Linked DNA regions of Lonchura striata. The protein of the gene in region 1 purifies or fractionates together with the protein of each later gene. This does not show direct contact. Links are inferred from orthologs where the notes say so. Each region holds a gene or a part of one and is shown on either strand. Other genes may lie near its edges.

Region 1 (12,054 bases):
TTTCATGAATAATTTGCTCCTATGAAATGTTATACAGAGCTCATCTCCACAGCATTGTAACATGCTTTAAAAAAAATTACAACACAATTTAGTTATTGAGAAAACTAAAAGGATGTCACATTAATGTAACTTTTGGGTTGGTTTTTTTTTTTTCACATAACTAGTATCAGTGTAACTTCTGAAAACCTTGATCCTTGTCTCTAAGTCTAGAAGCTGCACTTCAAAGCTGCCACCATGTCCTTATGGTGAATTTGTTTTCCCTTGCTCCCAGGTGCCTTTGACTTGCTGATCTACACGGATAAAGATTTGGCAGTGCCAGAAAAGTGGGAAGAGTCAGGACCGCAGTTCATAGCCAATTCAGAAGAGGTTCGGCTACGTTCCTTCACTACCACAATCCACAAGGTCAACACTACAGTGGCTTACAAGAAGGATTCTGTTCCCTAAGATGCTGGGGCAAGTTTTGTGTGTGTAAATATCCTGTCACCTTGTATAGTTTCTGTTCATCATGCAGCTAAGCTATGAGCACATCATTACTGTCCTCTTGATAAAAGTATGACAAAAAGACAACGTGCATGTCTGTGATACTGTGACACTAGACTAACCTGGCATTTTTAAAGAGATTTAAAAAAGGTACTTATGGTCATAGTTCAATTCTTACTTTACTGTATGTAAAATAAGCTAAACTAATGGTGTGTTAAACCACTGCCTCTGCTAGAAAAACTGCCTAAATCTAGGATTAGTTGCTAGAGTTGTATTATTCTTAAACTGCATTCTGTTAGCAGTCTTAAATTCTCTGTAGCAACTAAAATAATCTCATTCCTAGTGTGCCAGTTTTCATGTTAGAAGCCTGGGCTGTTTTATTACCAGAAATAACCCTAAAACAAATCAACCAAACAATTCTTGTACCACTCTACAATGGTAGCAGCTGTTTTATCAGGAAAACTTTAAACACATGAAGCCTTCTATTTTAATGACCACTGGGCTCTGGTTCTGGGGACACAGTTGTTCTGTGTACGTCTGTAGTGTCTGTCCAGCGTTTTCTATGTTTCTATTCTTGGTTACAGAATAAAGCTTCGGGTTTTATGTTCTCTAATTGAGAGTCTACAGTTCTTGGTACTTCAGATGGTTCCATGAATGCTACATTCTAGTTTATAACTGTCACACAAGCAACACCCAAGACATCCTCCTTGTTACTTAACTGTTTCCTTCCTGAGTCTCCATGTGGTGTGGACTCTGTATGAAATCCATTAATGGATTAACACTTTGCTCCCACCTAAGTTTTCAAGCAACAGTTTAAACAGTCACAGTGAACTAATGACACTGCCTTCCATATTTGTTAAACAGCACTGGACTCTTTCATGTGTTCTTACCATTTCTGTAGTGGAAGAAATTAGGGATTTAAATCTCTGGAACTTTCAGACTTACATGGTTTTGTTCACTTCCTTCACTAAATTCATTCCAGCCAGAGTGTTTAACTGGTTTTTCCACTCTTTTACAGTGATGCAGAACTTTCTGTTATAATAATATAATTTCAGAATTTTATTTAAAAAACACAGATTACATATACCCTATCCCAGGACTGTATTTCTTGCATTTTCTTATTTCCAGGAAATACTTCTCCCCAGCAGTCCCAATACAGCAAAAGAAAAAAAAAAAAAAAAAAGGCAAAAAAAAAAAAAAGCTCTTTAAATCAGGACCACAAACCCTTAATTTTTAAAAAATAAATACAATCCAGGTACTTAACAAGTGACATTATTCACGGCTAGGGCTTGTGCTGCAGTAACAGAGCATGGTGTTTTCTTTTTTTTCTTTTGCCTATCAGCACAATTGTGACTGCACTACCCCTTTCACCCCCAGAAGCACATCAAAGAGTGAAGTCTGTAGTAGTGTGCATAAAAAACACTTATTTTACAGAGATGCAAATGTGAAATTGCTCCAAGAAGCTCATTCTTGTACCAAAGAGAATTTATCTTCTTTAAGAAGGGCCAGCCCAAAGTCCATCTCCATCATCATCTTTGTGTTTCTTCTTTTATAGAGGCACCAGCAATCAAGAGAAGTTGCATACAGATCACTGCATGTAGATAATGTCCACAAAAGGTACATGTGAAAAGGAACAGGTCATAGATCCCAGTTTTCACAAAATCCCTGCAGAATAGGGAAGAAAATATAAAATAAAGTCATATTATCTCCCAGGAGCCAAGCCTTCATGGAGGTGTCCAACTGCATGTGCTGATCCTAAAGGGATCACTCTTGATTAGTTTCTCCTACTCTGAGGTCAGTTTTGCAGAGTGACAAAACCAAGTGAGCACCCCATTCATCTTCAATGGCAGTCTGGTTGTCCTTAGGACAGGGAATGAAGGGTAAGCTTCAGAACTAACCCAGCAGGCACTGCTCACCTGACTAGTTGAGCTGACGGATGAGCTGGTTGATTGCATCACCTCTGTAGCCAGGCTTGCCCATCTCCTTGAGGAAACCCACTCTGTTCCGTGATGCGTGGCGAGCCACTGACAGGTGGAACGGCCACAGAAAGCTGGTTACTCTTTTGAAATACTTCCCAGTTGAGTAGATTTCATGAATAAGGTCTTCCAGGCAAATGATATTACAGCCCCCTGTATGAGGGAAAAAAAAAGATGTCCAGCTGTATAATCTTTCCTCACACTGCTCCAGAACTGCCAGTCCTCCAGTTTGACAAGATTTTGTCTGTCCCCACCCTTTCAGGCCAGACTGTAAACTCTCAACACCTAACCCTTTCCTCAATTTTCTCACCCTCTTCCTCACCTAAATGTTCCTCTATCAGCATGTTGTCTGTCAGAGGCACCTTCTTTTTCTTGATCTTGGCTTGGCCCCGTTTCAGGATGAGCTCTCGTACAGATTTCAGGTTAGGCTGTCTGTGCAGAAACAAAAATCAGATCCTGTAACAGAGAGACATGATGCAGAGGGACACCCATACCACTTCCTTGTGCAGAGGTGGGAAAGTACACAAGTTATGTCAAGAACAATCAGAACAAAGAAAATAGCAAGTTTTTAATACAAAGTTGATTAAGTTTTGACCATGATTGGAGAAGTAATGGATCTGTGATAGCAACTGGAGAATCCAATGACCCCCAAGTCACAGGAGGGGCACGTACCCCCACGCCACATAAGGCTCCACGATGCGCAGCATCTTCAGCGACAGTGGGCTCAGCTTCACAAATACCCCGGTATAATTCTTCCTCAGCCGCAGCAACTCAATCACTCTTTTCACCCTCTTAGTCACTCCCTTAATACTGAGGAAAACAGAATTTATTAGTAACCACATTTTTCTAATACAGCAACTAAAGGCCTCAGATCACCTGCAAGGAGACATGTCTAGGTTGATCCCACTGCCTTGGTATGGAAACGACACAACAACGGGTAGCAACAATGGAAGGAGTAGGGGAAGGCTCTTACTCCACAATCCTCACGACGAAGGCCAGCTTGCTCTCCTGAGGTGCCACTGCCTGCCCAGGCCTCTGCTCCATGCGCCTCAGCCGGGTGTCATCCCGGCGTTTGCGCCATGAATCCCGAACAAAGGTCTCCAGGCGCCTGAACTGGATCTGTTTCCCCTTCTGCTGCTGCAGACAAAAGGAAAACAAAGTGAGGTTTGCATCTGAAAGGCCAAATGAAATGCAAAGTAGTGAACAATGTCCTTACAGCTTTGGAAGCAGTAAAAAAATAAATTTGATTATCTAAGCCCAAGGGAGACAGAACTGAGGGACAACATGAATTTATACACAACTATTATTTATGAACAGTGAACAAAGAGTTTTTCCCTAGGAAAAGTATAAGTTAAGGAAAAGACCTGGGATACTTCTAGGCATAGCTACAGACAGAGCTCAGCAATGGCTGGGAAAGCCAGAAACGGCATGTGGGCAACAGATATTTAAATGTCTCTCTTTACCTTAGGAATGAGTACATCCACCAACACTCATAGTGTTTTCTCATACAAACAGGACTTGAAAATGCACAGCATTACACAATGATATTTAAGATACTCTACTGGTTAAATTACCTGGCCACTTTAAAGAATCTAATGTTGTGTGTCTTCTGTTCTATTTCACCTTGTAAATAACCCATTAAATTCGTTTGAATTTTCAAAGCATGGAGACCTAATAAAAGTCTCATCACTAAGATCCTTTTTAATGAGAATCTTAAGGAGTGGCTATGTAATATTACTGCTTATGCTCCCACCTTGGAAATACAGCAAACCACTGATGCTTTTAAAAATGTAAACATGGTATCAAACAAAAATGGCAGGAGTTTTGCACATCCCACAAGATTCACTGGAAATCTTTAAGACAGACACCTATTGTATTAGCTGTGACACAGCACAACAAGTCTCAGATTTGGAATTAGAAAGGTTTGCTGTACTCTGCTAGTCTGGAAATGGCACGATGTGCACAGGGTGTAGGACATGTGTCACCCCACTCGCAGAAAAAGGCTTCATCATGACCAGTGCTGCTCTAACAGAAAACTCTAAAGCCGCCCTCAGAAAAGGACGGCTTCCATGCAGGGTTTCAACACAAAGGTGGTTTCAGGCAGTGAAATCCCAGGGCAGCAGAGATAGCGCTGCAGTTTCCCACATGTGACTGCAAATACCTGACCACCACTGATCCAACAGGAACAACTCACAGTCTTCTATATATTTCTGTTTCGGTGTAATAACCGGTACAATTCTGTCCGCTTTACAAGGCTCAAAGGAGAAGATGTTGAGGGACTCAAGTCCCCCTCGGAACCCCGGAATCCCGCGGCGCTCTGAGGGGCCCGACCACTCGGGTCATTTCCCAGGAATTTCAAGGAATTGCGGTTCCCTTCTCCGGAGGGGGAGCTGGAGCTGCAGGCCCAGGCTCTGCCGGGACCCGCCGTACCTTGCGTTTGTTGAGCAGCGCCTGCTTGGCCTGGGTGGCCTTGATGGCCAGGTACGCCTTCCTCTTCTTCAGCAAGTTCTCCGGCACCAGCGGGATCCGCCGCTTCGGCCTGCGGGCGGGACAACCCGGTCACATCCCGGCCCCATCCCGCATTCCCGCATCCCGCCCCTTCCCGGGCCGGCTCCGTGGCCGCCCCCAGCCCGCGGATGGCGGCGGATCCCGCATGCCCTCCACTCTTCCCCCTACGCCGCACTCACTCCTCCAGCTCCGCCATGTTGCCGCGCTGCTGCCGCGCATGCGCGGGGGCGGGGCCATGGCCGCTGCCCCTCGGGAGCCGCTCGCCGGCCCGGGATCGCGGAGTGCCGGGAGCGGGATGGAGCGGGATGGAGCGGGATGGAGCGGGATGGAGCGGGATGGAGCGGGATGGAGCGGGATGGAGCGGGATGGAGCGGGATGGAGCGGGATGGCGGCGCTGCCGGCCCTGCGCTCGCCCGGCAGCCACAGGCGGCGGGCCCGGGAGACGCGCGGTGTGACCGGCGCGTCACCCGCAGGTGGTGCCAGAGCCGCGCTCTCGGCTGGGTGCTGGTGGAGATGTGTTCCTGGTGTGCCGTGCGGGATGCGGGACCTTACAGCCCGAAATCCTTCTCATTTCCACTGACCGTAGTGTCCTCTCACCGGTGAGGAGCTCCAGCCTTGCCGGGAGGTTCGGTCGTGCCAGGGTTTCGCTGCTCACCTTGGTGATGCTGCAAACCTTTACAACACTCTAAATGAGCCCGCTTCTGTTTTGACACCTAAAACATGAAAATCCGTATTTAGCAACTCGATCCCAAATGCCAGGAAGAACAAGCCGTCGGTGATCAAACCCAGCTCTCATATGCATTCTTTTTTTTTTTTTTTTTTTTTTTTTTTTTTTTTTTTTTTTTGCATATGACACACAAAGCAACAAGCTTAGGAAATAAATAATCTGAAACTTTTCCCATAACTACACAATTTTCACCCTGACTTACAAAAATAGCTGGAATCCCTCGTAGTTCACAACAGAGAAAGTGGCCCATTTAAATCTACAAATGAGTGTGCTTTGTTGAACAGGAGGGAAATGCAAACAGGCTCTTGGGTATTCCACCATTAATGGCCAGGAAGCAATAAGTAAGTAAATATTTGAAGTGCTGTTGCTGTTGAAAAGTCTCCCAGCACAGCAGCATTCCGAGGCTGATTTGCTGAACTTCAACCAGCAGTTATATTGTTTTAATGAATGGATATTCAAATGTCCCTGTTTGCAGGGATACCCAAGAAAAGTGTTCCCACTTTCCTAGACAGCAACCTGCTGTACACTGGCCTTCAGCACTCTGAATTCCCACACACAAAATTTTAGGGCTCCAATTCCAAAAGCCAAGTCAGGAGATGAGATGGGATGTCAGAGGTCCATGGAACTTCTTGACTTATTTTCTCATTCCATGGGTATAAAACTCCATTAAATTAATTCCAAATCCCACAAAACCTTTATTGATGCTGTATGCAGTCTCGAAACAGCAAGAGGGCTTTAGGTCTATCACTTTCATCATTGAACTATGCCCTAGTCTGAAATCTGTTTGTAATAAATTCTTTATAAAAAGAGCCAAAGAAATTAAATTTTGTTTATTTTACCAATGATCTAATCCTGAGAATATTTTAATAAGGAAAGTACCTTGAGATTTTAAATTATGCCTATTTTCAGATCTTTTAAGGGAAAAGTTTATACAATTAGGACAGATGTCTGGAAATTACTCCATGCACACACTCTAACCAATAATTAATAGAGAGAAAAGTTGGGTGATCCAAGACTTTCTTTCATGGAAACAGCAATCATATAGAGATGGACTAAAATTTCATTAAAATATTTTTAGAAACACTGTAGATAGATGCATGGGTTTATTATTTTCAAAATAAGCTTCCTTAAGATGGGCCTTTTTGTCAGTAATCCTGCAAATTCACTACAAAAGGAGCAATGTGGGTATGAGACTAACATAGATGGGTCCCCTCAGTTAGCGGCACCTAATACGTCAAATTGAAAAGGCTAAAACATAAAACTTGTCTTTGTGTCTCCCTAGAAAAAAAATTGAATGGGGCAAAACAATTCATTCTTTAGTGCCACTAATTTATCAGCAACAATGGAAAATATTCCAGTTTCAAAAGCTCATTTTTACAGTAACTGTTGTGAATAATTCCCTAGAAGAAAATCAGACTACTAATAAAGCCCTGGCACAATTTTCAATTATTGTCCCTGGAAATGTTATCTGAAGTTTTAAGTTACAAATATTAAATTACAGATTTATATCTGTCAGAATGTTCTGACATATTCTGAAAGAGTGGTGTTACCTATTTACAAGTTTCCAAAGTGAAACAATTGTAAGAATTAAAATGTAAATTGATTTTGTTTTACTTCTAATGCACTTGTAAAGGCCTGGCTAATGACCCCAAAATAGAAAAATTGTTTTTCGATTGCAATAAACAGCAATGAAAATAATTTATTTCTCTGCTTTGTCTATAAGAGAGTGTACATGGTGGCTGCAATTTGAGTGTACAACAAATTTAATTGTATCTTTAAAGAACAGTGGAGATAAAAATAGACATTATTATATGTAGTCTCCACAGGTCTCCATGACCTCTCTCCTTCTTCCACAGGGACAAAAAGCTGCATTGTATTTGGGAGAAAGATCAATTATGTCTGAGATGAAAGACAGTGAGAACAGAATAGGAGTCTTTCCCACACTCAGTAATTGGGAATCCTACCTCCTACTTTTTAATTGAACCTTCAAGATAATTATGCCATTTAGGTTGTGGAAGCATATTAATAAGTACACCACAGCATAAACTATTCATAAAAATACTACAGACTGGGGAGCCATAAAAAGAGATGGAATGGAATAGCCTAATTAGGAAGTTTATCATGTCAGTGTAGACAACTCAATAGGAGATGCTTTGCATAGACAGATAATGCTCTCTGTTCTAAACCTCAGTGGTTCTCCTACAAAGGTGTTGGGTAGTGGACGATAACTTTTAATCTATTTTTCTTTAAAAATAAGCATTTAATTATTTTTATTTTATGGCTCTGGTTACTGACACAACTATGTAATATTCTTTTGCAAGTTCAGTTTGGGAGACTAGGGAAGAAACAGGCAGCAGTTGTTTCAACAGAAACAGGAATCAGAAAAGGATTAAGACATCATAAGTGAGAAGTGACCTGCAGTAATTAATATAAAATCACAGCAGTTTCACAGGCTGAGCCCTGAAGGAAGGTGTGGCCCTGAGTGCTGACAGTGCAATAGGGCTATAAAGGTCCTCTCACTTTTTTTCCTGTTAATTTATGCAGGGAAAGTTCTGATTGGAATATTTGAGTTTGTCTGCAATTATTGGTGACAACTGCCCAGATAAAGCTACAGAGCGTCAGTATTTGGCCAGAAAACACCAGGCAGAAAAACACAGAGAGAAGGAGTAGGAGGGATGTAAGTGGTCACCTGTAGCTTTTTCCCAAGAAAGAGGCTGTGTCCCTACACACAGCAGAAACAAAGGAAGGGAGGAGGTAGTTGCAGGGTTCTCCTCATGGCACAGCAGATGTTATAAGTCTGAGTGCTAAGCAGTGAAACAGCAGATAAAAATCAGTAAATAAAAGTGCAGCAATGTTTCACAAATTTTTCTATGAAATGATGGGTTCAAGGTAAGATAATAAGATTGGGAGTAGGATTTTGGAACTATTAGAGATAGATAAAAATATCAGCTTAATGCTTAGGACAACTGAACAGTAATTGAAAATTATTAGAGAAGGGGTAAGGAACAAAGCAAAAACTGATTCCACAGCATAGCCTCTCACACCCGCATTTTGAATGCTCCAGCTTTGGTCGGTCATCTTTCTTCCATCTGTCCATCTCATACCTCCACCCACCTTCCCCCAAGACAGACTTGGAAAAGATTCAGAGAAAGAAGATCAAACACAGGGAATAGTTTCCATCTGTGGAGCAGTTATATAGACTGGACCTGCCAGCTGGGAGAAAGGTGCTTGAGGGAAGATAAAACAGTCAGTAAAATGATAAATTCTGGGATTCCTCTTTCAGCACAAAAAGGGAACCTCCGATGAAGGCAGCAGGAGGCAGGTTCACAGGTAATAATTTGGGTTTTTCAGCACATGAACTTGGATTGAAGACCCAGACCTCTTAGCCACCAGAGGAGTTACACATTCCAGCCGTGTGTTCCTGCCCACCTCCCCTGCCCCCAGTGGATGTGGCCTTTCTGCTAGCTCAGCTCTAAATTTTCCATTCAAATGAAATAGATCCCATTTTATATTTGCCCTTGCTATTATAGCCCAGCATTAGAAAAGGCAGACAGAAATCAGTTTCTTTGCCTGCATACAGAAGGGCTCATTTAATCTGAATGCATGCCCTTCCCTGCTCAGCTGCACCGTGTCCCATTTTCCTGCCTTTGAAGTCCACCCTTTCCAGTCTTTAAAGAGCTTTGGATAAATGAATCCTGTTCCTGCAGTGATCTATTATCAGCACTGTCTAAAAGCGAGAAGGATGAGGCAAATTTGCCAAAAAGCTGAGGAGAGGTGGAAAAAGTGAGAAAGGAATCAATATCTGTGTAGCTCCAGGTAGCACTGCCCGGACCACAGCAAGCAAAGCCCAGCTGCTTGGTTCCAGCAGCTTGGAGCATCATTGTCCAGCTGTAACAGTGATCCATCAGCTGGCAGACTGAGACTGCAGGGGCACTCCATCACCTGGAAAAAAGGGGGATGAGATGAGGGGAATGCCTCAACACGAATAAACCACAGGAATCCAAAGAAACTGTGCTGCTCCTCTGTGCTGTGCTCAGCAAGACTTGGTTCTTCCCTGAGAGTTTTCCATAACCCCTGGTGGAATCAAGGCATTTCTATATCAGATGCTGTGTTCTCACTTCTGAGATAGTTTCTGACCCAAGAGACATCCTTAGGAAGAGCTCCTGAAGAAAAAACAGGTCCTGTTTCTAAACCAGTCAGCAGGATAACAAGCCTGTCTTGCTAGTTCAAATTTTCTATTCACATATTAATTATACTGTAAATTATTTTTGATGTATTGTATAGAAAAAGTAGAAGAGTCATCATCTTTTTTTCCTACTTTTTAACAGTAAGAGTAAGCTTCTTTCTGTCAGTACACAAACCCAATAGTGAAAGAAATCACTCGGATGCAGGTATGCTTCAAACAAATGTTAATTATCAAAATAATCAAATAATTGTCAAACTCTTAATTCTCAAAACAGCATCTCCCACCTTGGCATATGACACACTGAAGTTGTAGCTGAAAAATGCTGGAAAACATATGCTATTTTTTTTTCTTTAAACCAATTTTGTCAAGGCACTGCCTACTCTAAGAGTTGGTGACGAGGCAGAGCTAATTAGGCAGGTAGGTTTTATCAAAGAATAGAAGGCTCTTAAATCTGCAGCAGAGAGAAGAACCTGACCTACTTTGTGTATACCCCTGGTGCTTTTATTTCAGGTGTTTTCACAGTCTTTCTAAATTCCTCATATAGCCATTGTAGAAAGGCTTTCTGTATTTTCATAGTGCTTAATTGAATTGCTTTAACTCAGGTTTCAGCATCTCCCTGTCAAAGAAAAATCATTCCTCACAGCCTTTTAGACAGGAGATGGAAATGAATACCTTCAAACACACTACATTCCCAAATCTTGAAATCTCTATGCAGAAACAATTTAACCTGAAGGAATGGGAAATGATGGCTTCTGCATCTCCCCTTCCCTTCAGCTCCAGACTGGCTCCCTTTCTGGGAGATAAGCTTGAATGAAAACACCTTATCTGCAGGATTCACTGTAGAGATAACAAGGTGCAGCATAATGACTGACCAAATGCACTGCTGCAATGTGATTCTGCTTCTGGTGTCAGGAGGGATGTGGGCAGGAAGAGGTGCCCATTCCAAGGTTTGGGCTGGGGCTCAGCTCCAGGGATTTACCACAGCTGTTTCCAGCTCCTGCCAGGGCAAGCCCTGGCACAGTCCTCTCCTTCCCTTTGTATTCTGATTTCTATGTGGAAAAAGTAGACATGCAGGACAGGAAAAAGCCAGAAAACATTCCTACCACATCCTAGTGAGGCCTAAGAACTGCAGACTGCATTGCAGCACAGACCTGTATAGCCCAGGATATGCTTTGGCCCCAGATAAGGATTTCATTCAAAGAGGTCACTTCTTCATGGATACTTCAAAACCTGGAAGGCATTGCTGGAATTCAACCCTGTTATCTGTTTGCAATCATCTGAAGATGCCTGGATTGTGTGGTGTATTATTATTATTATTATTATTATTATTATTATTATTATTATTGATCACCCACCAGATTATTTCAATAAAAATACTTCAGATGATGAAGTATATTTGTTTTTGAATTCCTGACATCACTTTAAAGGTTTGCTTTTCTGAATTTGCATTGTGGAAGTGCTCCCTTGGGCTTCCTTGTATTTTTTTTTGTTGCTGATTCTCTTCTTCAGTTTACAAGATACTACATCTACAAGCTGCTTTCTGCATAATCACATCTACCTTTGAGGTGTGGACACTTCTGCCAGAACACACGGGCTACTTATCACTGCCTTCTTTTTCTACAAACAGAAATTCACTGGCAAATTAATGTAAAGTTTCCTATATGGAGCTAAAAGGGAAAATTGGGGGATTTAGTGGAAAAAAGGGAAATATTTTTTTTCTTCATTCACCCTAATTAAAATTAATATCACTTTGGCTCCAAGTAACCCCGGTGACTGTAAGGAAATGAGTAGTTCAAACCAGCAGCTCGCTGAGCTGAGACACTGCCACACATATGGCCTGTGTGCTCACGGACTGTTCCTGAGAAGAGCCCAGATGGGTTACAGCAAGCAGAGACAGCCATGCTTTAGCCCCACTTGTTGCTGTTACTAAATTGTTTCTAAGTTTCACTCTATTTCCAGCTATAAGATACTTGTCCATTGTCTATTTTCACCTTAGCTACAGTCTCTTCAGCTCAACTGTAATTTCTCAGCACTTTCTTGTAGCCCCTCTTTTAATGACACAAGTTTTATTATACAAAGAAGCCTGAGCAAGGACCAAGGACTGTGCATCTTTAACAGACTCCTCCAAACACATCACTTACTGCAGCAGTGGCATTAATATTCCCTGTCACATCTCA
Region 2 (12,609 bases), on another chromosome or scaffold:
ACAGTAAGACAGAAGTTCAGATGATGCTGAGCTCCATTACCTGTGTATTGCACATCTCTGCTTGCATGCTGGCCCCGTGGCACTCCTGCCCTCCAAAAGCAGGCCTGGAAATGACAGAATTCCTCAACAGAGGCAGGTTTGTCCCAGGCAAAGAGGAAGAGGCAGCCCCGAGGCCCTGGGCACAGGCAGGTCCCCACGTCTCACCTGGGGTTGTTACAGAAGCGCTGCCTCAGCACCACCCCCCCGCCGCAGCTGCGGGAGCAGGGGGAGAGGGGGCTCCAGGCAGACCAGTGCCCATGGACCACAGCCATGGGGTTCAGTTCCTCCAGAGAGCTGCACTGACCCTTGGAGCACCACTAGGATCAAGAACACACAGAACTGGCAGCAGTGAGCACAGCAGGGCTGGGATCTAAAAGGTTGGCACGAGTCCCCATCTTTGGCAGGCCAGTAACAGAGTCCTGGGGTGAATGAGGCACCTTTTGACAAGAGGCTGAAGAGTCCCCTTCCTAATTAGGGTCTAACATGAGGCTGGGGTCAAAGCAAAGAGCAGGCAGGGCATTTCCAGTAGGAGAGCTCAGGTATCAGGCTGTAGAACTGCAAAGCAACTCCAGAGATAAAGACAAGATGGAAAGACCAAGATCAGGACATAATGGCACCAGTTTAGGACTCGTTTTAGCTCCCTGGCCAAGGGGCAGTGAGTGCCAGGTACCTTCCAGACACTGACAGAGCTTTTCTGTCTGAGCCCCACAGCCCCCACACCCACTCCTGGTGGGAGCCTCCTTACCTTGTTGATCCCACACTCAGTTCCATCCAGGAGGGGAACCAGAAGCCGAGTACAGCTGGATTTGTCTGCTGGCTGTACATGGCATGAGAGAACTTTACAGATGTCCTGGTGTGACAAGAAAATCAGAGAGTTCAGGGAGTCAGGCTCAACAACACAGTCCCAAAAGTCTAAACAGGGCACATCCCAGGTTTTCTCCCAGACACCCAAAAATGCAAGTTCCTTCACTTTTCCTGCTATTGGGCAAAAGCTGTGGGCAAGTCAAAAGATCATCACTGTAGTGATCACCAGCTGCAATGCTGGAAGATGATCAACTGAAGCAATTAAATTTTCACCCACCTTAGTGTTTTCTCATTAACAAAACATGTCCAGATGGCAGCTATTAAACACGCTGTGCTTCCCAGACAAAGGGATTTCAGCCATGGCAGGGAAGCTGGAGGAATCCAGTGAACAAGAATTCCCCAAGGCAGGACCCTGAGTGGGTGCACCCAGCACTGCCAGCTGTGCACAACAGCACCCAACTGTGTAAACCTTACAGGAGATTTATGTGGAGGAAGGAGGTGATGAAGAGAAGGGAAACATTTTGAAAGCTTTGCCAAGAAAAGCACCTTCAATCCTTTCAGAATAAAAATGCTGCCAGCCAGTTCTCCCGAATTTTGGCTCCTGAACATTTCCCTGCTGCCTTTAGCAAGACAGACAAACTTTCTACCTACAACATTGGTGTCAGCAAAGGTGCAAGCTGTGGCCACACTCCCAAAGGCAATTTTACACTGCTCATCTGCTCCATAGTACAAGCCAGGCTTCCACCCCGGGATGCTGCCGTCCATGTCCGGCAGGTCATTCAAGCAGCTTGTTTGGCCTGTACTGATAAAAACATGAGGAATAACTTTCCCAGCTGTGGGTAGTGAGGACAAGGACATGCTTGCAGACTTGTGCTGAGTTTCACTCTGGGAGTTGGCTGCTGCTTTCCCAGACAACATATGCTTGCTGTGGGCTGGGATGGATTTAGTTGCAGCAGCTGCCTGGAGATGTTCACAGTTCCCTGCTGCTGGAGTTCTATCCCATTCCTGTCCTGCACCCAGCCAGCACAGCCTGCAGTGCCTGGATGCTCTGATGTTGTAAATAAAATGTGCAGGCTGAGCCAGTGTCTGAGAAATCCAACCCAGCCCAGGCATGTTAGGCACCAACCAAAGCCACTTCAGCAACATGAAGCAAAAACTGGGTTTAACCTCAGCAACAAGTGCTAAGAAATAAACAAACCCCAAGCTTTTTACTGTTCCTCATTTTTCAATAAACTTTTTTCTTCACTGAGTTTTTCTCTCCTAAGCCCCCAGCATAGGGAACTGAAGAACTCAACCATTCCCTTACCTGACAAGGGCCAGGAACTGCTCCCGGCTGCACGGAGACCAGGTGAGGTCGATGCTGTTGTGGTTTCCTGCTGAGCCCATGATGTAACCACTGCTGCTGCACACATTCCCCTCTCCATCGTGGGCAATGCCAAGGCTGTAACAGAAGCAGAACAGAGCCCTGAGGAGAAGAAACCCAGAGGCTGGATTCCCTCAGAGCCTCCCTTCTCTAAGCAAGGACTGAGCTCCCTCTGCAGCCCTTCCTTCTACTGTTGTCACAAAGGGTTTCTCTCCTCTTTGCAGCTTCCAGTTGTCACAGGACATGCAGGAATGCAAGAAATCCAAAGAACTCTTTCGAAAATAATCTGTGATGATGACCCAAAGGGTTAGAATAATCCATGGGGAATTCCCTTTTATGTCAAGAGGTCCTTTTGCTTCTTTCTTAAACTGGAGGGTGTTTTACCCTGAATAAAACCTACTGGGCTGCTCTGGCAGTCTCCTACTGACCTGTGCCCAATCTCATGGGCTATGGTGACTCCAAGGTCAAAGCCAGTGTCCTGGGTAATGACACAGCTCCAGAAGGAGGAGCAGACTCCCCCTAACTGAGTCACTCCACGAAGTTCCTTGTTCCCATCAGGCAACTCCAGGTCAAACCTAAAGTAAGGGAGACATAAAGAGGAAAGAGCAAAGAACCCTCACAGCTAAAAAAGTCAGACAGCTGAATTTATCTGAGCTTTGCCAGCTATCCAACATTTCTTTTGACATGAGTGCCCACTGCTCCAATTTTATGAGGATTCCGCATTAAAAAACCAAATGTCCTCAGACAAGCAGAACTGAATAAAACAACCTAATCCTATTTCCCAGTCCCTCCCAGGGCAGGGAGCTCAGCACCTGGTGATGTAGAGGACAATGTCAGCATGCTGGGGGTCAGAGTCGTTCTGGGGGTTCACCTTCTTGCTCCACTCACAGACACTGATGAGGGAGGAGGTGATGTTGGTGGTGATGTTCACCTCTGCCTGGAGGGAAGGCACACGTTGGCACATTCTAAACAGCTTGGAGCTTGGGCAAGCCTCAAACACAGCCCTCCCCTTACCTCTGGCTCTCTCAAAACCAGCATTTGCATGAGGTGAACTCTGAAATGAGCCCCCAGTGAGGCATCTCTGAGCAGCTCTGCTCCCTAAGAAGAGACAGAAAGGATTCAATAAACAATGAGCCTTAGGGACTCCCAAGCCCAGTTCCCAAGAACTGGGCTGCACTCATTACAAAGATAACTACAACACTAACATATGCACTACAAATGTTAAAAAATCCGTCAGGAGGTGAGAAGTGGTTAGATTTGTCAGATACTCTGAAGCAGAGAGAAGAATCTGCATGAAAAGTTTCACAGGGTAGAGTGAATGCTAAAGGCTTTTCTGCTGTACACACAGAGAAAAATTCTTAATAACAGCAAAAAAAGAGACATGAAAATTCTGCAACAGAAATACAACAGTGCAATGTGAAACATAAAATGGATTCAGTGGATTTAGCTCAATCCCACTGAAAGCAACAGGGTGAGAAAACTCTTTACCTGTGTTGCAACATTAGTAATTAAATTAAGAGCTACATTTTCTCTGTGGGTTTTAAATCCTCTAAGATCTTCTTTTACTATTATACAAGGGAATTTGGGGGATTTCATGCCCAGGGAAGCACAGAGGAATGCCCTGCACATGAGCTCTGTGCCAGGGACAGGTGACCCCAAGCACCCTGAGGTGCTGCCTGGGGCACAGCCTGGGACAGGATCCCAAGCACAGAGCCACTCACAATGTTCAGGTTGGCCAGGATGTAACGCTCCGTGTCCTCTCTGTGGTACAAGTAAACATCTGGCCCTGCCACCACCATCAGCTCCAGATGTTTGACAGCTGCCTCAGCCCTCTTGCGCAGGCGAGGAGGAGCCCACCCTGCTGGACAGCACAGAGGGACACCAGGAGGTTCAAATGCACCATGAAAGGTCCTACAGATCCACTCCCTCTCCCCAGAGGCTGCAATAACTCAGCTGCAAGTCCACCTCTGCAGGGGCTTGCTCAGCTTTCCCACTTCTGGGGGTGTTTTTCACCTGCCAGCAGCTTTAGCAACACAACTGTGCTATCAAAATAACAACCAGCCACATCAGACACGCCAGGCACACCTCGGCGAGGCGAGAAACCTTTCCAAGTCTACTCGTGATTTTGTAAACACAGATTTTTCCTCTGAGCTCATGGAAGCAATGCTCCAGGAGACAGCTTTTCCAGCAGGGCTCCCTCTCCATGGCTGTTACCTCTGGCTGGCTTTGCCTCTCTTGCAGCACTTTTGAAGAGGATGTGGGGACTGGAGAAGCCGAGGTCCTTCAGCAGAGCCACATCTTTGCTCCTGACTGGCCTGATGTGAACCTTCTCCTCACCCACGGTGACCACTCCTCGCTGAAGCAGACAAAATTGCACCTCTGTGTTATTCCAAAGATATTTGCTACCCATGGGGATGGCAAAGGTTTATTCAGTGGATGGTTCACACACGTTTGGTGCATGAAGCTGCCAACCCCAGAGGCTGCTCCTGCTCATACTCACCAGCTGCCCTTCACAGAAAGTGACTCTGCTCCTGGCCCCAGGAGGCTGCAGGGCTTTTCCACCTGCAAAGCAGCTCCTGGGGAATCTCTTCAGTAAAATAAAGGAAGAGTTCACCACCTGGCTGCTCACAAAGGAGGAGGAAAGGAGGGCGTGGTCCTCTAGGAATTCAAAGGCATAGAGCTGCCCCCAGGCCTGGATGGAGCAGTGCTGGACCCGACAGGGCCTCAGCCCAAAATGTTCTTCTTTACAAGGGCAAGCGGGCTCAGCCACCACAAACTCAGGTACTGGAAGAAATGAAACACGACCAGAACAAGGGGAGCAGTTATGAGAAAGGATGCTACACAAATCCCCAGTGTAAGGTTTATTTCCCCAGGAAAAATACCCTAAAAATGACAGCTGTGGCCTCTTGGGCTCATGGTGGCAACAGCCATTCACAGAATTTCTGTGCTTTTGTGTATTCTAAAGTGAGGATAATCTGACTGGGAACACACACAGAAACTGGCACTGAATTTATTGCAGCTTTTGCTCTCTCAATAAGGAGAACACTTCATCTAAAAAAGGGCTGAGTTTTTTTCCTGCAGCTTTTAACTATTACTGAGTGGGAATTATCACAATGCAAAGACACTGGGATGAGCACTAGGTGAACTCACAAAGAGACAACACCCTTCCTTTAGGGATTTGAGACTTCAAAACATCTTTATTCTGAACTATCATCAATCAATCCAGACCCAGAATTCAAATCTCTTTGTGCATTTATTTTAAAAAATAATAATAATAATTAACATGTATTTAAAGTTATCCTTAGTCTAAAGCTTTTGCCAGAAGAAAAACACCCATACAGAGAATGGGGAGTGCAGCAGAAATGTGCAAAGAGGTTGGACACATCTCCTTGAGGGGATCTGAAACTCTGAGACATCTCTCCATCCACTCACACTGAACCCAAGTTGTCTCACTTGCACTCAGAAACACCAAATGCTGGTCATTTCAGGGGTTGTTAATCTGTTGTTAATTAGCACTGCCAACCACACAGGGTTACAAACCACCGGCCAGATGTGCTCTAAACCGGGGGACACTGAGCCCTGCATACCATCAGGCACTGAGCTGGTTCCAAAGTAAGACAGAACATCTTCCCCATCCAAAGCGCCGAGGAATTTCTGCAAGAAGAAGAAAAATAAGAGCAAAAACAAATGGCCACGAGGCCATCCCTGCGCTGGAGCTGACCTGGAAGGAACAACAGCAAACAGCTCAGCAGTCCCAGAGCCAAACCCTCACGGCTTTACTCCACGAAGGAGCAGCTCCATCTTCCTGATTAGCGAGCGCGGACGGAGTTTGGCTTAGAAGCGGGTCGTCTCTTCTTATTTTTATTTTTATAGATTTTTGTTTGTTTGTTTTAGGTTTTCTCGGCCGCGCTGCTGAAGGGCCGCCCGGAGGCCAGACTCACCTCAGGGAGCCAGCACAGCCCCAGCGGCAGCACGGCGAGCGCCCGCAGCGCCCAGCTCACGCTCATGCCGGACCGGCCGAGCCCTCCCGGCCGAGCACCGAGAGCTTTGGCCCCAGGCCTCACGTGGAGCGGAAGGGAAGAGCAGAACCAGCCTTTGAGCAAACAAACAGCGACTGGGCAAACAAACAGCGCCCGAGCAAACGCGCCCCGGGCCGGCCCGCGGGGGACGCGCCGGCAGCTGCGGCGCGGCCGCCCTCGCGCAATGCCCGCGGCTTCTCCAGCTTGTGCGCCAGCCCCGCGGGCCGAGGGGCGGCTCGGGGGCCGAGGGGCGGCTCGGGGGCCGAGGGGCCCTGCGGACACGCCCGTGGTTACATGGAGGGGGGACGGTCACCCCGCGATCCCCCAGCCCCGGAACGCTGGAACCGCCGCCCCCTCCGCCCCGGAACCCAAGCGCGGGCCGGAGTTCCCCGGCGGGGCGGTGCGGCGCTGGGCCGGTCCCCCTGCGGGAGCGCCGGCCCGGGTGAGACTCGCTGCGCCGCGATCCCGATCCCGATCCCGGTTCCGCTGACCCTGCATGGCCAAGCAAAGTCCTGCGGAGCCTCCGGCGGCGGGGCCGAGCGGTGCGGCCCGCGGGAAGGGCAAGAAGAGGAGGAGGAAGAAGAGGAAGGCCCTGGGGGAAGCGGCGGGCGCCTCGAAAGGCCCCGGCATGGCGGCCGCGGGTCCCCCCCGCAACCCGCAGGAGTTCTCCTCCAACTGGAAGGCGCTGCAGGAGGTGAGGGGGACCGGGGCATGCGGTGGGGACAGCCCCGGGGAGCTGGGACAGGGAGGCAGCGGGGCCATGCTGGCAGCAGCGCCTGAATGGATGGGACACACTGTCCCCATGGAAGGGACACTTTCCACTGTCCCAGCCCGGCCCTGGGCACTGCCAGGGACCCAGGGGCAGCCACAGCTGCTCTGGGCACCCTGTGTCAGGGCCTGCCCGCTCTCACTGAGAAGGATTTCTTCCCAATGTCCACCTAACGCAGCTCTCTGGCAGTTTGAAGTCATTCCCTTTGTCCTGTCACTCCAGGCTCTTGTGAATAGTTCCTCTCTCCCTTTCTTGGAGGCTCCATTTAGGCACTGGAAGGACACAATTAAGTCACTCTAAAGCTTCTCTTTTCCAGGCTCTTTTCCTTTATCTATCTTTTTATTTTATTTTTTTAATGTCATTTTAGCTGCTGAAACAAAAGGCAAATAACTCCAAGAAGCCCATCTCCACGGGTCAAACAGACACCAAAAAGAAGCAGCCACTCAAAGCAGCCAAAAACCCAGAAATCCCAGCAGTCAATGGGAATGTGGTAAAGGCCAAATCCACAAATAAAATGGACAGTGGTTCTGCTAAAGCCAGTCCTCCTTTGGCCAAGCCAGAATCCAAGGGGGTTGCAGCAAAAAAGAACTTAAATTGCACTAAAAGCAATGAGAAAGGCTGCAAAGAAAAGAAGAAAAATGGCATTGTTGTGAAGGAGAAGGATGAGCTGAAACATAAGAGGAGGAAAGCTGAGGAACACGTGGAGCAGCAGCCCAAAGAGTGAGTATTTCAGGCAGCAGCTCTGGATGAGAGTATTTATTTTGGGAAGAGCACAGAGAGGTATATTCCAAACAGCTACACTTTTCCAGACTAAATTCTGAAAGAAATAAGGAACATTTTGCCCCTGCTCCTCAGACACAGCAAGAAACCTGTAGAGGTGCCAGTCACGGACTTAAATTTCACAGGATTTAACTCTTGGTTTAGAAAGTAAACATACTTTTTGTACAACAGACACCAGATTGCTTTGAGGCTGTTAAATGTAATTAAATCTGTTCTTCCCAGGGCTGACATCTGGTTTGATGATGTTGATCCCAAAGATATTGAAGCAGCACTAGGACCTGAAGCAGCAAAAATTGCCAGAAGGAACCTGGGACTTGAAGCAGAACAATCCCAGTCTGTGGAGCAGGTGCTGGTTAAGGAAAAGGCTTTTGAAGGGTGAGTGACACTGCAGGGGGAAGGATGGCAGCAGAGTGTGAGAAATGGAAAGATAGAAACTGCCAGAGACACTGGCAAAAGTTTGATCTGTAGCCTTAGAAGAAGCTTAGATTAATGTAAAACTAAAGTACACAGACATTAAGCAGAAAAACTTATGTTTCTATAAACTCATAAACTTATGTTTCTCTAGTTGTAAGAGTATACCTTAAGTAAAAAACTGTATTAATAAGATAGTGAAGGGTTTATCATGTAAGAGTGTAATTGTAGAGAGTAAGCTAAGAGTTTAGTGGTTATAATAGAAACGTGTGTGCACGTGATAACAGCCCATTAGATAAAAGTATACACATTGCAGTAGAAATAAGTAATAGAAAAGCAAAATAAACTTTGTAGCAACTGTCCATTAGATTAGAAAGTTATATATTGTCTTGTAATGAAGAACTTATAACTACTCTTGAGCTATAACTGCTTACTCTCATAAATCTCACAGCCTCTGAGACTAATGTTTATCTGAATAATAAATTGTTTTTAACCTGTCTCTAGTCCCATCCCTTCAATTAAACAGCAATAATAATGATATCAGCTGGCAGACTGGCTTCTGATAAGGGATCTGCACAGTGAGCTGCCATCTCCCTGCCTCTGCTGCCAGGCTCTGCCCTGCTCACACAAATGTGAACCTTGTCAGCTGCAGCTGGGCCTGCAGAGGTGTCCCCAAGCTGTCCCTTTGCCTTCCAGGCTGACCCGGGCCGTGGCCATGGACTGTGAGATGGTGGGGGTGGGCCCCAAGGGTGAGGACAGCATCTTGGCTCGGGTGTCCATCGTTAACCAGTTTGGGAAGTGTGTTTATGACAAGTATGTCAAGCCCACGGAGAAGGTGACAGACTACAGGACAGCTGTCAGCGGCATCCGGCCTCAGAATATCAACACAGGTACCAGGACTTTCCCCTGAGAGGGAGAATTCACTGGGTTCTCACAGAAGATTCATTGGCTGAGCTTGGAACAGTTTGAGACCTAATTTGGGAAAACAAAATGCTGAGATTTGAGTTAAACTTAATGCTAAGAAAAATTGTGGGAAGATGTACTTTTCTACAGTGATCACTAACATTTTTGAAGAAATTAACTGGTGAAATATGGTGTAAAAAAATAACTTCCTTTTCATGCTGTGCTCTTTATAGAATTCTCTATACCCTTGAAGGAATTAACTGGTGGAATATAGTATAAAAGTTCATTTTCTTTTTATGCTGTTCTCTTTATGGAATTCTCTATGTTCTAGCAAGCAGAAATTCAGTGTACTGTACAAAAACTACAGTTCCAAGGATACAGTTGCTTCCCAGAAAAGATGCTGTGATTGCTCATGGAAAGTGTTTCCTTGTGTGGCATTTTTAGGTGAAGACTTTAAAACTGTTCAGAAGGAGGTGGCTGAGATCCTGCAAGGAAGGATTTTAGTTGGACACGCCCTAAGGAATGACCTAAAGGTAAATTGAAAATGAGGTTTGTGATACATCATTCTGGATCAAGGGAACACACCTGAGCTGGAAACCTCCCCCCATCTAGATGAGCTGGGTCTTGTCCTTTCATGGCTTTAAAGTATCTCTTACACTGGTTGGGAGGAAACAACAGCATTCAACTCTGTAAGGTTTCATGCAATAACACATTTAACTGAAAATGTGGTTTCTTCTAGGTTCTACTTCTTGATCATCCTCACAAGAAGATCAGGGACACACAGAGATACAAACCTTTCAAACAGAGAGTCAAGGTAAGAGACTGCTGGGAAGGTGCTCAATTAACAGACTCCAGAGCTGCTGACTCACTTCTGTGCTTACTTTTACCTGACCCTGTTCCTTCTTTCCTACCTATGCACACACAGATCTCCTAATTCATTAATTATTCCTGGTATTTCGCCAGCAGAGGCTAAGATGTGCTATTCTTTGAAGAATATAACATTTTTATAGAACACCCATCTGTGTTATTTCAAGTCCTGTGAGACAGCATGGTTTGTGATGTGTTCTGTCTCTAGAGTTCCAGGCCATCCCTGAAGCTGCTGTGTGAGAAGCTGCTCAATGTTCAGGTGCAGACAGCAGAGCACTGCTCGGTAGGTGCCTCCTCAGATCATCCAGCTCTGGGTTCTGGCCAGTGCTGTGCCTTCATCCCACTGAAACTCAGCAAGCTCTGCTTGGACAGCAGCAGCAGGGAGGTTGTCATCTAAGCTCGCTCACTGTTCATTCATTTTGTAAACAACTTCTGCACAAGTTAACTCTTAACTCTGAATTCTTGTTAAAATTCCCAGGGGGAAAGGTAATGATCAAGATCTGTTTACCCTAAAAGCAGCATTCTGCACTGCTGCACTGTGGCAGGATAAACAGTGAGAGAGGCTACACCTGAACCTCAGCAGATCCTTTATTTCAGTGGGCAGGAGGATGGAAAAGAGGAATGAACTGGGGAAGCAAAATTGGGAGGGGAGCTCATAGATACTGTGTCAATGACAAAATTCTCTTACTACTTTCCAAGTAACAATCAGAAATGCAGAGCCTTGTGGTGAGCCCTGGACTCTAAATACACAATTTGTCCCTTTCAGTAGGCACAGACCTAAATGTAAAAAGAGATCATGAAATGTTAATTGGAAGGATGTATTAAAATGATGGAAGATTTAGCTGCTTATTATCTCACATCCTTGTCTGGTCTATTCTCTTTCAGATCCAGGATGCACAAGCAGCTATGAGACTTTACACCCTGGAGAAAAAGAAATGGGAAGCTGCTGTTAAGAACAAAGCTAACAACAAAAATTGTAAAACTTAAAAACACAGGGTAGAATCTTTCATCTCTGCAGCATTTGCTGGTTTGATGTCACATTCCAAATTTAAAGATAAGTCAGAATTGACAGCAGCCGCTTCATAAAATCAATCCAAAGACAATGGTACAGTAACCTGGAAGTTCAGGAGTGCCGCTGGTATCCCTGTGGATGGGCCCTGTGCCTGATGTCTGCTACTGTGTTCAAACAACCTTTGTAACAAATGCCTGCAGTTGGGAAGAACTTCATCAGTTAAATTTCTTCAATGGAAATAGACACTGAATAAGTTAAAAAATTAAATTATGATAGATGAAGGAAGAAACTGTCATTGCTTTGTCAAAATTTGGAGGATTAAAATTTTTATTTCAAGTATGTTAAGGTCCACAAAGTGAGGTCTTACTACAAGGTGAATTCTTAAATATTGCTGTTAGTTACACCATTGTGGTACCCAAACCATCAATAAATACCTGTTTGCATATTACTACTAGCCCAATATTATTATTTTTTCTGGTGAGAAGAATCCTCTAATGAAGAATCCAGGCTTTTGTATCCAGCAGTGGCCAAGTCTTGTTCTCAGACAAAACGTTTTTCCTTCCTCAGTTTCAAAAGTGTTGCGTTCACCAGGGTCTGAATCTTCTGGAGGGAAATGTTAAAAAATGTCAAACAAAAGATTACCTTGTTGCTCCACTTCTTTTTGTATTCATTTATTAATAAAAACAATGTGTCCAACATAGGTGTTTGAAGTGGCTGTTGTTACAACAGGAGAGGGAGCTTTCTTTCTGTGGTTATTTTTTTTCTGTGCTACCTTGTGGCTGCAGTGTTCATTGAAGGGGTTCAGGCAATGCCTGGAGGAGACTTTTGAAAACAATTCTGTAAATACATAACTAAAATCAGCAAAATTAAGACTAACCAGTTTTATTGGCTTGATGAACAAACCAAATTAATGGTTTCTTGCCAGCAAGCCATTGCAAAAGAAATATTAGTGTAACATATTAAATAGCTCTGATAACTTTGCTAGATTTTTCAGTGTGACTACTTGGTGAAATTTAAGTTAAATCTTCCCATAAACTGTCAGAAAGATTTTGAAGGGTTTTTTAAAATTTGCTAACAATGCCACTTCCAAACCAAAAATAATTTGGGTGTAATGTACTTATGACTTTATTCCTACAAACTTTATCCTGGCTTAGCATGAAGACTGTAGTAAATTATTGTAATGTTGCAAGAGACCAGAATATAATTTTTTAAAATTTCAGCATTAACAAGAAACAACTTTTAACCACTTGTTCTCAATAATTAGAACTATCCTTACAAACTCACTCTTCACCCCACATGCTGTAAATTCTCTAAATTTCTGCACTATGATCAAATCCCTCACCAGAAATAATATACTAATATACTTTATTATCACAGAGACTTCTCCATACCGTGCTAAATGGAAACTGGAGTTTTATTTCAGACAGCAGCTTTTGCATTTTCTGGGACCTCATATACAGCATAACCTCATCTGCAGTGCCAATGAACAAGAAAATGTATGGTTATAGCACAAGTGCCACTGGAGCAGGAGCTAAAGGAGCAGGCTAAAGGGGAGAGGACAGAGCTACACAAGGAGGAGGCAAGATGAAGTTAAAATGTTTTACCATCAGAGTGGTAGTTGTTTGGAACAAGTGGAGTGAAT

Evidence for each region.
Region 2: the proteins of RPL7L1 (region 1) and REXO4 purify together in Homo sapiens (affinity purification with mass spectrometry; 3 studies listed by BioGRID and IntAct, with this or other methods). This does not show direct contact. The link is inferred for Lonchura striata from reciprocal best matches to the Homo sapiens genes RPL7L1 and REXO4.

Annotation. Positions count from the first base shown.
Region 1 is NC_134606.1:70,020,546-70,032,599, forward strand, and holds RPL7L1 (ribosomal protein uL30-like), read right to left. Parts: upstream 5,202-12,054; 5' UTR 5,161-5,201; coding exon 5,144-5,160; intron 4,996-5,143; coding exon 4,887-4,995; intron 3,594-4,886; coding exon 3,430-3,593; intron 3,267-3,429; coding exon 3,129-3,266; intron 2,889-3,128; coding exon 2,779-2,888; intron 2,610-2,778; coding exon 2,401-2,609; 3' UTR 2,397-2,400; intron 2,146-2,396; 3' UTR 1,527-2,145; downstream 1-1,526. Other genes in the region: MAD2L1 (mitotic spindle assembly checkpoint protein MAD2A), read left to right, coding at 272-444.
Region 2 is NC_134624.1:7,753,579-7,766,187, reverse strand, and holds REXO4 (RNA exonuclease 4), read left to right. Parts: upstream 1-6,604; 5' UTR 6,605-6,721; coding exon 6,722-6,919; intron 6,920-7,361; coding exon 7,362-7,714; intron 7,715-7,996; coding exon 7,997-8,149; intron 8,150-8,881; coding exon 8,882-9,075; intron 9,076-9,532; coding exon 9,533-9,621; intron 9,622-9,827; coding exon 9,828-9,902; intron 9,903-10,163; coding exon 10,164-10,238; intron 10,239-10,840; coding exon 10,841-10,942; 3' UTR 10,943-11,507; coding exon of another isoform or gene 11,508-11,570; 3' UTR 11,571-11,663; downstream 11,664-12,609. Other genes in the region: ADAMTS13 (A disintegrin and metalloproteinase with thrombospondin motifs 13), read right to left, coding at 41-104, 205-356, 785-889, 1,495-1,645, 2,150-2,284, 2,635-2,781, 3,019-3,143, 3,221-3,304 and 5 more; serine/threonine kinase-like domain-containing protein STKLD1, read right to left, coding at 11,508-11,570, 12,359-12,438.